Arabidopsis thaliana: one gene and its partners. The protein of the gene in region 3 interacts with the protein of the main gene of each other region in a pairwise test. Each region holds a gene or a part of one and is shown on either strand. Other genes may lie near its edges.

The links.
Region 1: the proteins of AT1G53800 (region 3) and AT4G39050 interact in a two-hybrid assay, tested with the Arabidopsis thaliana proteins (one large-scale study listed by BioGRID).
Region 2: the proteins of AT1G53800 (region 3) and KLCR1 interact in a two-hybrid assay, tested with the Arabidopsis thaliana proteins (one large-scale study listed by BioGRID).

Annotation. Positions count from the first base shown.
Region 1 is NC_003075.7:18,191,411-18,195,166, reverse strand, and holds the start of AT4G39050 (Kinesin motor family protein), read right to left. Parts: upstream 2,093-3,756; 5' UTR 1,706-2,092; coding exon 1,380-1,705; intron 1,252-1,379; coding exon 1,154-1,251; intron 1,072-1,153; coding exon 982-1,071; intron 848-981; coding exon 795-847; intron 421-794; coding exon 355-420; intron 258-354; coding exon 204-257; intron 1-203.
Region 2 is NC_003075.7:6,654,307-6,658,062, reverse strand, and holds the start of KLCR1 (Tetratricopeptide repeat (TPR)-like superfamily protein), read right to left. Parts: upstream 1,690-3,756; 5' UTR 1,450-1,689; coding exon 764-1,449; intron 657-763; coding exon 43-656; intron 1-42.
Region 3 is NC_003070.9:20,079,701-20,083,456, reverse strand, and holds the start of AT1G53800 (muscle M-line assembly protein), read right to left. Parts: upstream 1,814-3,756; 5' UTR 1,570-1,813; coding exon 1,545-1,569; intron 1,290-1,544; coding exon 912-1,289; intron 815-911; coding exon 762-814; exon of another isoform or gene 752-761; intron 670-751; coding exon 632-669; intron 537-631; coding exon 218-536; exon of another isoform or gene 202-217; intron 131-201; coding exon 1-130. Other genes in the region: AT1G53790 (F-box and associated interaction domains-containing protein), read left to right, coding at 2,063-2,125, 2,405-2,486, 2,574-3,756.

The DNA of each region.
Region 1 (3,756 bases), on a different chromosome or scaffold from region 3:
CAGATAAACTGCGGATATCTGAAACATAGAAGCACACATGTAAAACCAAGAAGATCATGAACAGTCACCCAATTCTCTATATTTTTAAGCATTCTAGTTCTCAAAGATAAGGCAGAAGAACTAGAAAACATATCCCAATCTAAAAATATCTACTTTTCAGGGATTACCAAGTAAATATATCAAGGATAAAAAGTTCCACTTACCTCATTGTATATTTCAAGATATGAAACACGGAGCAGGAACTCCCTTCCTGGAGTCTGAAATATAAAAATGTAGCCAGTTAGCGAGCATGAAATCATATAAAAAAGTCGTGATGAGATGAGAAAAGACATGAACCCCGTTAAGACCACTTACATCCTGGATGATACTGAACACGTCTTTTATTGCTAGCGGTATGATCCCAGGAGATTCTTGATCACCCTATGCATATTGCAAAAGCAACCAATGGCAGAACAAAAAGAACATCAGATTTAGGTTCTACTTGTTTGGACGGGAACTAAAGACCCAACGTAGCTACTTCACTAAAGATAAGCACAGCCAATCTAAATGAAGACCTTCAAATTCCATTCATACGAGGATTTCCAACTCACATAACCATCACCAATTAATGATGGCAAGTTGGTATTTGTATGGTATCTTTTGCTACCATGTAAATGTTTAGAGTAACCCAGAATAACCAGCAGATACCAAAGGGGGACCAAGTTGAAGAAGAGATCCCAATTCATAGCACATGTGTTTTGAAGAAAAACTAGAGAGAAAGGCGTATAAGGATTCTTCTTTTTTAAAACCCTTACATGCATTGTATGTGTCTTTCCACTGCTAGTAACACCGTAAGCAAAAACGGTTCCTGTCAAAATTCCAACCCTGAGTCAGAAAATATGTTGCAAGCAATACTACTTGCGGACCAATTGGTTTAGAGGATATTTCTATATAAAAGATACAGATTTTGGTAAAGCTGAATTTTGCAGCAATGTTACTTACCGTTAACACCTTCCATTGCTGCCTTGACTACTGGTCTCGCAGCTACATCATAAACGTCAATAGTAGTTGCCTGTGGTCCAAAAACTTTATCTGGCATCAAAACAAATTTGGAAAACATTCACTCAATGATTACAAGAAAACATTCAGAATAATTGAGAGGTGAACCAAATACCAAATGCGTAAGCTGTGAGTGGGTTATACTCGTGCCTAACCAATGTATCACCATCAGGGTACCAAGCAACTTCATCTCCTCTTTGATACTCTCTATCACTGCAAACCCACAAAGATAAAAACTTGAATTTGCAAACCCCAATAAAGAATTGACTCCAATTGCATCTACATGAAAACTGTAATCTCTGCAATAGATCTGGTCCATGGCGAGATCAGATCTAGCATACCTCAACGGACGAAAACGAACGGTGACGGAGATACTATCCCGCTCAGAGCTAATAGTATCGTCCATAGGGTCACCGAGAAGCTCCTCTGACGGGTAGGGAACAGGCGATCCAATTCCAAAGCTGCCGGAGCCGATAAGGCCCGAGTCGGAGAAGGTGCGACTAGGCGTCATAGATCGGGAGGCGATTCCGGCGGCGGAGGTAATCAATGAGGAAGCAGAGGTAGAGTTAGAACGAGGAATGAGACGGTTGCTGAGATGAGAAGAAGAAGTGGAAGAAGCGGGACTTGGAGGTCTACTGCTTCTAGTTCTCGATGAGGATGAAGCCATCCACTAACCTCGAAACTCGAGGGTCAAACTCGGTCGCAGGAATCGGTGAGAAGAATCAAACCAAAACAAAACTTCCGAAGATGCAGAGAATGTGTCAGTGGGAGCTCACATGGCTGGAGACATAAGAAGAATAAAGCATTGTTGTGACCCTCTCTTCTTCTTCTCGTCTTCTTCTTTGGCTAGGAGATGGTAGACAGAGATGGTGAGACCATTGAAGAGAGAAAGAGAGAGAGATTGTTTCGTCTTCTTTAAGCGAAGATCGAATTCCTCAGATTTCTCTCTCCTCTGGGTGAAGAAACGAGGAGGCTGAGAAATTTCAGATTTTGAATTTTGTTTCTTTTTTTTGTGCCTTTCCAAATATACTCTATTTTTAATTTTTAAATTAATTGTGGTAGTTGAAAAATTATTTAGGAAGGAGAACGACAAAACAAAAATAAATTATTTTCTTGGGTGAGAATAAAAAAAAACATTTAAAGTAGTTTTTACTGTATGCTGCTGACGTGGTTATTATTGAAGACCAGACCACCGTGTTACTGTAACGTGTATGACCAAAATGGTTTACCGGTTTGAATTTTTTTCAAGAGACGAGCGGGAATAACTATGGCTGACCAAATACTGTAATTACCGTTTTTACCCTTATAGTTCTTCTTCGTATAATTAGTTAATTACTGTACTAAGATATTGACTTATTTCAAACACACTTACACACACATTAATTTTCTTTTTATGATGGAATAATATGTAGCATCAACAAAACACTACTCGATTTCAAAAATAATAACTGGTTAACAAATATGTTTGATGCTTTAATTACAAGCTTTAGGAATCTATCTAAGTTTTGATTGAGAATCTTTTGATATAAAATGCCATAAAAAAAATGCAATGCTAATCCATCAATGTGTATTGTGTATGGAGTTACAACTTAAATCCAAAATAATGAATATGGAGTTACCAGCACGTACATATATATCTGCTAAGCTTTATTCGTCCGCCGTCATATAAAATGTCCCAGTTGGACATACAATACTTTGGTTCATATATATATATATATCATAAAGTATAGAATGCCAATAGATATTTCTTCCATTACTATGAATGGTGTAACAATAATATAAAGCAAATTAAGGATGGAATATGTTTTAAATATAAATACACATTGTAGACATATAGAACAAACGTTAGACTACATTTTAAATATACAGAATAAACATATATAACAAACGTTTTTTTTTTGTTCTGTAGAGATATTTTTGTCTGGGTGAAATTACACATTTCATTATGCGACTGATATAAATTTATAATATTCGTTATTTTTTTATTTTTTTTGTCAGCATATACGTTAGTTAACAATAGTATCCTTTAACTTGGAAAATACAAATCCTGAAATTATTAACATTGGATGCGAACACAATCATACACGGAGATTGATCTGACTTGAGTTCCGGCTCTACCTTTACCGCGAGACATTGCATTGTAAATTACGTAACAGCAATTTTTAAGAAATTCTTGAAAATACAAAATAAATCAAAAATATTACTGGAGTTTGACTCAAACTTTTTGAGTGACGCGCATCAGAGAGGAGCGGAGACACGCGCGAGAATAATTGGCCGGTGAGGAACCGGAGGATATAGATTTAAGCCACCCATGTGATCGCTGCTCCTTTCTCCTGATACCGCTTTACACGTAGACGCTAAACGCTCTTAATTGGGTTAATACTGTAATTTTGATTATTGACGACAACGAGATAGCAAGGGTACTTCGGTAATTTGCTAAGTGTATATTAATTATCCATGGAATATTAATTATTATTTTGATTTAACGCCAAATTGAATTTTCATGTTTTTGTTTCGTTTTGATTTGACATCTAAGGCTAATTGATATACCAAACAACAAACTTCATTAAAATAAACTGAGTAAGATACATAACGTTTAACTATATGATCCAAAAGACCAAAACCAAATTGTTTCGTTTCATCTTCAAGTAACTAATGGGGTAGTTCATTTAAATCGAGTATTTCATTTTAGCTCGACGTAGTGCTTAAGCAGTATCA
Region 2 (3,756 bases), on a different chromosome or scaffold from region 3:
ATCCAGCTAAAGGAACATTCATGGTATGGACAAAAAATTTACCTGCAATGGCGCTCTGCTGTCCTGGCTTATCCTCAAGCAATTTCATAGACTTCTGAAGTAGCTTCAATGCTTCCTCAGGTTCATCTACAGACTCATAAATAGCAGAAATCTCAGTTAATCCACCAGCAATCTCCTCCACAGTTGTCCCAGGCACCGGCTTATTGTATATCCTCAACGCATTCTCACAGTAAGACTTAGACTCACGAAGTTTCCCTGTTCTATGGTAAAGCTCAGCCAATCTAACAAACACTGACGCAACCGTCGGATGAGTCTCTCCTTTAGAAGCCTTAAACACAGTAAGAGCCTTCTGATATGAAAACACAGCTTCATCAAACCGGCACAGCGACATGTAAATATTCCCAATACTAACATCAATCGATGCAACCTCAGATTCTTGTCCACTCGCAATCATAGCCATACTAGCAAGAACAAGATGCTCAAGAGCGTTTTCATAATCTCCTTTAGCCTCGCAGATAATTGCCATCAATCTCCTATCAGCTGCTTCCTCCAGTGAAGCAGGTTCACTATGCGCTCGGTGAATCTCTAGAGTCTTCTTGCATAACTCTTCCGCTTTATTGAACTGCATTGCTTGAACATATGCTTCTGCTAAGTACCTGAAAATTATCAGAGACTTCAGAAACTTAGATCTAACCTATATAGTAACTTTTAGCAAACGTAATCTAAGAGTTTAATTAACCATTAAATGCTTAGTTAAGAGAACCTGCAAGTTTCACCAACTCGTGGATCAGTATCACCCAAAGTCTGGATCTGGATCTTAAGACCTTCTTCATAACAAGCAATAGATCTATCAATCTGACCAAGCATAGACAACGTATCACCAAGTTGCATATGACCAGAAAACGCAGCGAGAGAGTGGTCAGGGCCACGAGTCGGATCAGGGACTTGAATAGCTCGTTCAAGAGGTGGTACAGCTTCATCAAATCGGCCGAGACTACAGTAAATAGCAGCGAGAACATGAAGGCTCATAGCGAGATCAAGAACAGGTCCACCATCGCTACCACCGGGAATAGGCGGAGCAACGGCGGCGCAACATCTCTCAAAGGACTTAGTTGCTCGGATCGCGTAATCTAATGCTTTGTTAGGACCTTCACCAGAAGCAATAGCGTCACGAGCTAATTTTAGAAGGAAAGGACCGAGATCTGGATTATCTAGAGATGGATCGTCGACGTCGATTACGGCTGCGGTGGAGGAGGATACGGTTGGGGAATCTTTTTTGCCGGTGGATCTATTTGGTGATGGTTTGGATCGAGATGGTGTAGAGGAAGGGGTTTTCTTCATCGGAGTTCGCGGCGGGTTTGAGAGAGGTTGCGTGTCTGGTACGGCTACACGTAGCGGCGGTGTATCGGAAGGAGTTTTGACTGAGACGAGACCTGGCATTGCTGGCATGAATGTGTCTCTCTGTGGGAAGTGGGAGAGAGAGAGAGAGTTATGGCGGATTTGGTTTTGGATCGGACTTTTGAGATCCAAGTGGAGAAGGAGACGAGTCAGTCAGTGAAAGAGGTAAGGGTAGTTTCGTAATTAAGTTTTAGATTGGAGGAGATAACGGTCATGTTGTGTTGGAAAATATTGGTGATAGATTATTAAATAAAAAAACTTTTCTTACACACAAAAAAAACAAACTAAAATAGATTTTGTACTTAGTGACGACAAGTGATAGATAGATTTTACAAGATAGATAAGTTTGCATGACAAGATTTGTACTGTTCTGAATCAGAATTTCTGATGAATTGTTCTCAATCTAAAATTTTATGAACTCACAAATTTAGATAGTAAATTAAATTAGAGAAGAGAGTTAAAAAAAGTAATGCAATCTAAGTTTTCATTTTACAATAAATTGAATATAAATCTTTTTTATGATGTGTATATTGAAATGGAGATAGTTGAGCATTTATCCACTTTTTACCATATGGTTTATGGTTTCAGTATTTAGAATGTAGGTTTTTTTTTTTTCTTTTTTTCCAACAAACAGAATTTATTTATATGAGTAAATCTTTACAAAGAGAGTTTTTGAGCCAAAGTGGCTGATAACCAGAATTCGATTGAAACTTGTAACACGAATAAAGTGGAGAAGCTAAGAGGTGAGCAGTATTATTACAGAGTCTATTTGTGAAAGTGAAAACCACAGTAGAAAATCTTGATGCCCAAAAATCCACATCTCGGAGAAGACTGGTTATTTCACATCTAGAAATTGCACCATTAATTGCCTTGATAAGGATCTCACAATCACCTTCGAACTGAACACACTTATACCCTCGTACCCATGCTTGTTGCATTGCGATTAATAACGCTTTTGTCTCAGCTTCCAAAGCAGTGGTACCATTTTAGACTATTGATGATCCCCAAGCCTTCGCTAATCCTGCATGATCACGTATGATCCACCCTCCCGTACTCTGAGTATTATTACCCGTGAAACCCGCATCGAAGTTGCACTTTACTAAAGGAAAGACCGGTTTCTTCCACCGCACGTTTGCCCTGTGTGATGATCGTGTTAAAACGGAAGCGTCCTCTCTTCGGTTCACACTTTGTAACCATTCATTGACTTCTGCTTCAGTTTGTGTCACAACCCTTGAGCAACTTTCACTGAACTTATTAAACACAAGATTATTGCGTGCTTTCCATAATCTCCATATGAGCCAAAATGGGGCCAACCTTTGCTCTGTATTCAGAGTATTGTTTGAAAAAGAATTGATAAGGAAAGAAATATTCTCCTCTGTGTCTTGAGAGAAAGTATGACCCGGTAACCAAGGGAAGTTTGATAGACCCCAAATTGACGCAGCATAAGGACACGTAAATAAAACATGGTTTATCGTCTCTTCTTCAGTTGGGCATCTGGGGCAGTGTGGATCGATGTCCATTCCTCGAGTGAGAAGTCGCGAGCGTGTTGGTAATGCTTTTGAGATTGTACGCCAAAGCATGTACTTGATTTTTGGAATAATAGGGAGTTTCCAAAGCTTGTTCTTAATTTCCACTGAACCATGAGGCACCACTGGTCTAACCTAAATATTCGTTGGGTCATTAAAGAGAAACCAGTACCCGGACTTAACTGTATAATCCCCAGAAGAAGAGTAGTTCCAAACTAGCTTATCTTGATGCACAATCCTGGAAAGATGATGGTTCATAACAAAACGGTGGTCGTCGGGACTAACAAGCTGAGAAATGAGATGTGCGTTCCAATACCTATACGAACCCTGAGTTGAGATTAACGTATCCACCGTGATATCCAACGTAGGAGTGACGACGTTGAGAGGTCGTGGAGGGTGCGATGCAATAAAATTATCTTGACTGATTCAAACGGTTTTGCCATCTCCGACAATGAATCTGCTTCCTTTTTTAATTACATCTAAACCCGCAAGCATAGAAGTCCATCCGTAAGATTGATATCTCTGCCTTTTAGCGTCCAGAATAGAGTCTTCTCTAAAGTATCTTGCTTTCATTATTCGGGCAAATAAAGAATTTGGGTTGTTAATCATCCGCCATACTTGTTTTGCAAGTAAAGCGTCATTGAATTTAGCCAAATCTCTAAACCCTAAACCACCTTCCTTTTTCGAGTATTGTAATCTCTTCCAAGCTATCCATGGTATTTCTCTTTTTTTTGCATTCTTTTCCCACCAGAAATTCATTAAAAGAGCTTCAATCTCCGAAACGATATTCAATGGTAATTTGAAGCAAGACATTGCATACACCGGCATCGAC
Region 3 (3,756 bases):
TTGTACTTTTCTTTGTAGGAGTCTTCTTTCTAGGTTCTGCATCGCTCCTTGGTCTTCTACGACGCCTCTCGACACCAACAGGTATACCGTGATATTTTGCCAAGCCGGAGCAAACTCTTTCACGGTAAGACTGATAAGAGAAAGCAAACTGAGTTAAATATGACCAAGAACAAAACATCAAACAAGTTTGATTTGATCAAGTGACTAGACAACTTACTGGATCAGCCCATTTAGCAGCTATTGCTTCTGCAATTCTCCTTCTTTGTTCAGGAGATTTTGGCGCTCTTCTGTTACTTTTAGCTCCTTTAATGGCTTTCCTCTGCTCAACACTTTCCAGCCATTCCAGTTGATTCTGTTGATCCAAGATGTTGTAAGAATCCCACTGAAGCTCTTCTTCGTCTGTATATCCTTGTTTAGCAGCCTCCGCTAACAAGTTTTGCCACTCGAAATGACATGTCTCCTGCACTTTTCTCCTCTCCTTCCTCCTTGCCCATCGCATCCGCACTCCCTCTCCAATCTTCATCCGTGTCTCCTTGCTGTAAAAATCATGCAAATTTGGGAAGATAGTATTATGATAACAAAAACCAAAAGCTCCAACAGGTTTAAAAGCAAACGAAAAACCGGTACTGACTTTTGTGCGTGCCCAAGATTCGCTAATTTCATCTTGATCTGCACAAGGACAAAGACACAAAGGTTCTATGAGGGGTTGAAAATTCTGATGCATAGAGCAAACATATAGAACCATTCTTACATGACATCACCTTTGGGTCTTGCATTGCAATCTTTGTCCTTTCTCTAATCTTCTGTAGGGTCTCTGCATAAACGCAAAAGAAAAAAGATTATGAAATGTTTCCAATTAGAAGCAACTGAAGATAGATTGCTGAAGATACGAATAAGCAAAAACTACTCACCTGGACTATGCTTCCTGCCTTTGTTCCAAGGAGTGTTCCCTCTATTTGCCTTAGAAATCCTCATCCTTCTCAACTTTTCTCTGTCATCCACTTGTTCTTCGCCATCATCAGCACTTCCATTTGAGGATTTCGAAGAAGCAGAAGACAAAGAAGAGCTCCGTTCGTTTTCTTTTTGAGCCGGATACTTGGTTTCAAGAGTGGCCACTGCAGTAATAAGAACTTTTCCTCTTCGGACATGACTATGACCCGTGTAAAATTTCAAATTCTTGGAGAAACAAGACTGTCTCCATGGATTAGGTAGACTTTTAGCATGGATAATACTCTGAGCCCCCAATGGAACAAGATGAGCTTGAAATGAAGGTTGGATAGTAGCAATATCTGCAAAGATTAAACCAAAGAGTCATCTCCATTAGCTAGTAAACATTCTCTAGATACTGTGCGAATCACTAGTCTTTTCTTATACGCATTTAGACCAAGATTGCAAATGCAAATAATTGATACTCAAGAATGATGAAATCCAATAGAAAAGAAACAAAATTGAGAAGAAAGAGAGTCTCAATACTGAAGTAGAATTCTAAACAGTAACCAAACACAAACCCAGAAAATTAAGAGGTAAATATCTGGAAACTTTACCAGAAAAGGTACCTAAAGAAGGCATTGGGAGCTCATTCAGACCAGGAAAACGAAAAAGGAAGAAACTTTGAAACACTCTTCTCTGCAACACCAACCAGGATGTCTTGTAAGATTATACGGAACAATACATTAAGGAAATATGTTCCTCTTACTGTCTGAGAGAGGCGAGAGTTTTTGCAGGAATTTGACAGACAAGGATAAGCCACACAAAAAGCAAATTTCAACGAAGATACTTGTGTCTGGCTTTGACGCAGCAACCAGGGAGGCGATGGATAACGAGACCCGGCTCGCTCTAATGACCCGACCCGGATCACTGCATATTGGGCTAATGGGCCGCGTTTCATAGCCCAATTCACACGTGGTATTATTTTCTCTGGCCTCTCCAACAAGGCACCTAACGTGGCCCTTACTTACTAGACCTTAATAACTCGGACAAAGTTGGTACTCTTGTTGGTGTAATTCGATTTCTTCTTCTCACATCTCAAATCTCCGATCAAAATCCGAAAAAAAAAAAAAAAATGGTGAGAGATATTGTAGACGATCCGCTTGACGAAGATGATATCGCTCTCGTCAAGACTTATGTAAGTGTACCCTTTTAGAACCCTAAATTTTGCTGTATTTTGTTTCTTTGCGAACCAGTTTGATGTTTTCTCATGAGTAATTTCGAGCTAATTGCTATTTTATGATCCTATTTAGATCATTTTTGTGCTTATATGACTAACTAGCTTTGGGTGACTCTGCCTCACTGTTTGAATAAGTCATCCAAGTGAAAAAAAAACGTTCATAGTTATACTTGGTTTGATATGTTGCGTCTCCATATGTTTTTTTGCTGACCTTGTTAAAATCTCAATCCTTCGCAGGGGTTAGTGCCTTACTCTGCACCTATCAAGAAAGTGGAGAAAGAAATTAAGGAACTCACCGAGAAGATCAACGATCTATGTGGTTTGTGCACACTGAGATAGTGGTGTTACTTTCATTAGTGACTTCTATTTACCGAATGATTAAATTGCATATACGGGTAACTTGCAGGTATCAAGGAGTCTGATACTGGTTTAGCTCCTCTCAGTAAGCAAATGATGCAAGAGGGGCAACCTCTCCAGGTGGGTTATGTTTCCTGTTTTAGATATATCCCGATCGATCTCCTCATGGATATCTTTTCGAGAGTTCCTGCAAAGTCTATAGCTAGGTTTCGTTGCGTATCCAAACTCTGGGAATCCATACTTTGTCGTCCTGATTTCAAGGAGTTGTTCATGACTATGTCTTCGATTCGTCCACCGTTGCTTCTTTTCACCTTCCAAGATGATGATGGCAATTTGTTCTTCTTCTCTTCACCTCACCCTCAGATTCCATGTAACGAGAATACGTCTCTTGTACCCACCCGTTATCATGTTCAACATACCACAGATTCTTTTTCTGAAATTGGTTCTCCTCTTTGTGGATTCATCTGTCGCCGAGGTAAGAGAAATCTAGATACTATGGTAATTTGTAACCCAGTCACGGGAGAGTCCGTATCCTTACCCAAAGTGGAACTGAAGAGTATTAATACTGAGACAAGACCTTATTTAGGATATGATCCGGTCCGCAAACAGCTAAAGGTATTGTGCATCAAGTCTGATGATATCCCAAATACGTGTGATGAGCATCAAGTTTTGACATTGGAGAATGGAAACCATTTATGGAGAACAATCCAATGCAAACCCCATTATCCTAAATCTGATGGAATATGCATAGATGGTATTTTGTATTATACAGCTGGGTTCGATATGCGGGCAAGGGTTTCTATGGTAGTGTGCTTTGATGTGAGGTCTGAAAAGTTTAGCTTTATCAACATACATGTATTCATGTTGATGAATGACTCTTGTACTCTAATCAACTACAAGGGTAAACTAGGTGCACTTCAGTTTACATGTTTGTCTCCAAAACGTCTTAGGTTCTGGGTTCTAGTAAATGCTGAGAAAAATATATGGACCAAATGTATCTATGCATTGCCTCCTTTGTGGAACAACTTAGTTCAGCATACGGAGTTAGCCATTGTTGGAATGACTGATGGAGGTGAAGTTGTGTTGTCACAGTACTGTCTAATATACGCATTTTACATTTATTACTTCAACCTTGAGAGCAAGAGTCTCACAAGAGTTCAAATACAAGATGTTGAAATGTTCAAACGTACGAGAGTTTACACCTCTCTAGGCTATGTTGAGAATTTTAAACT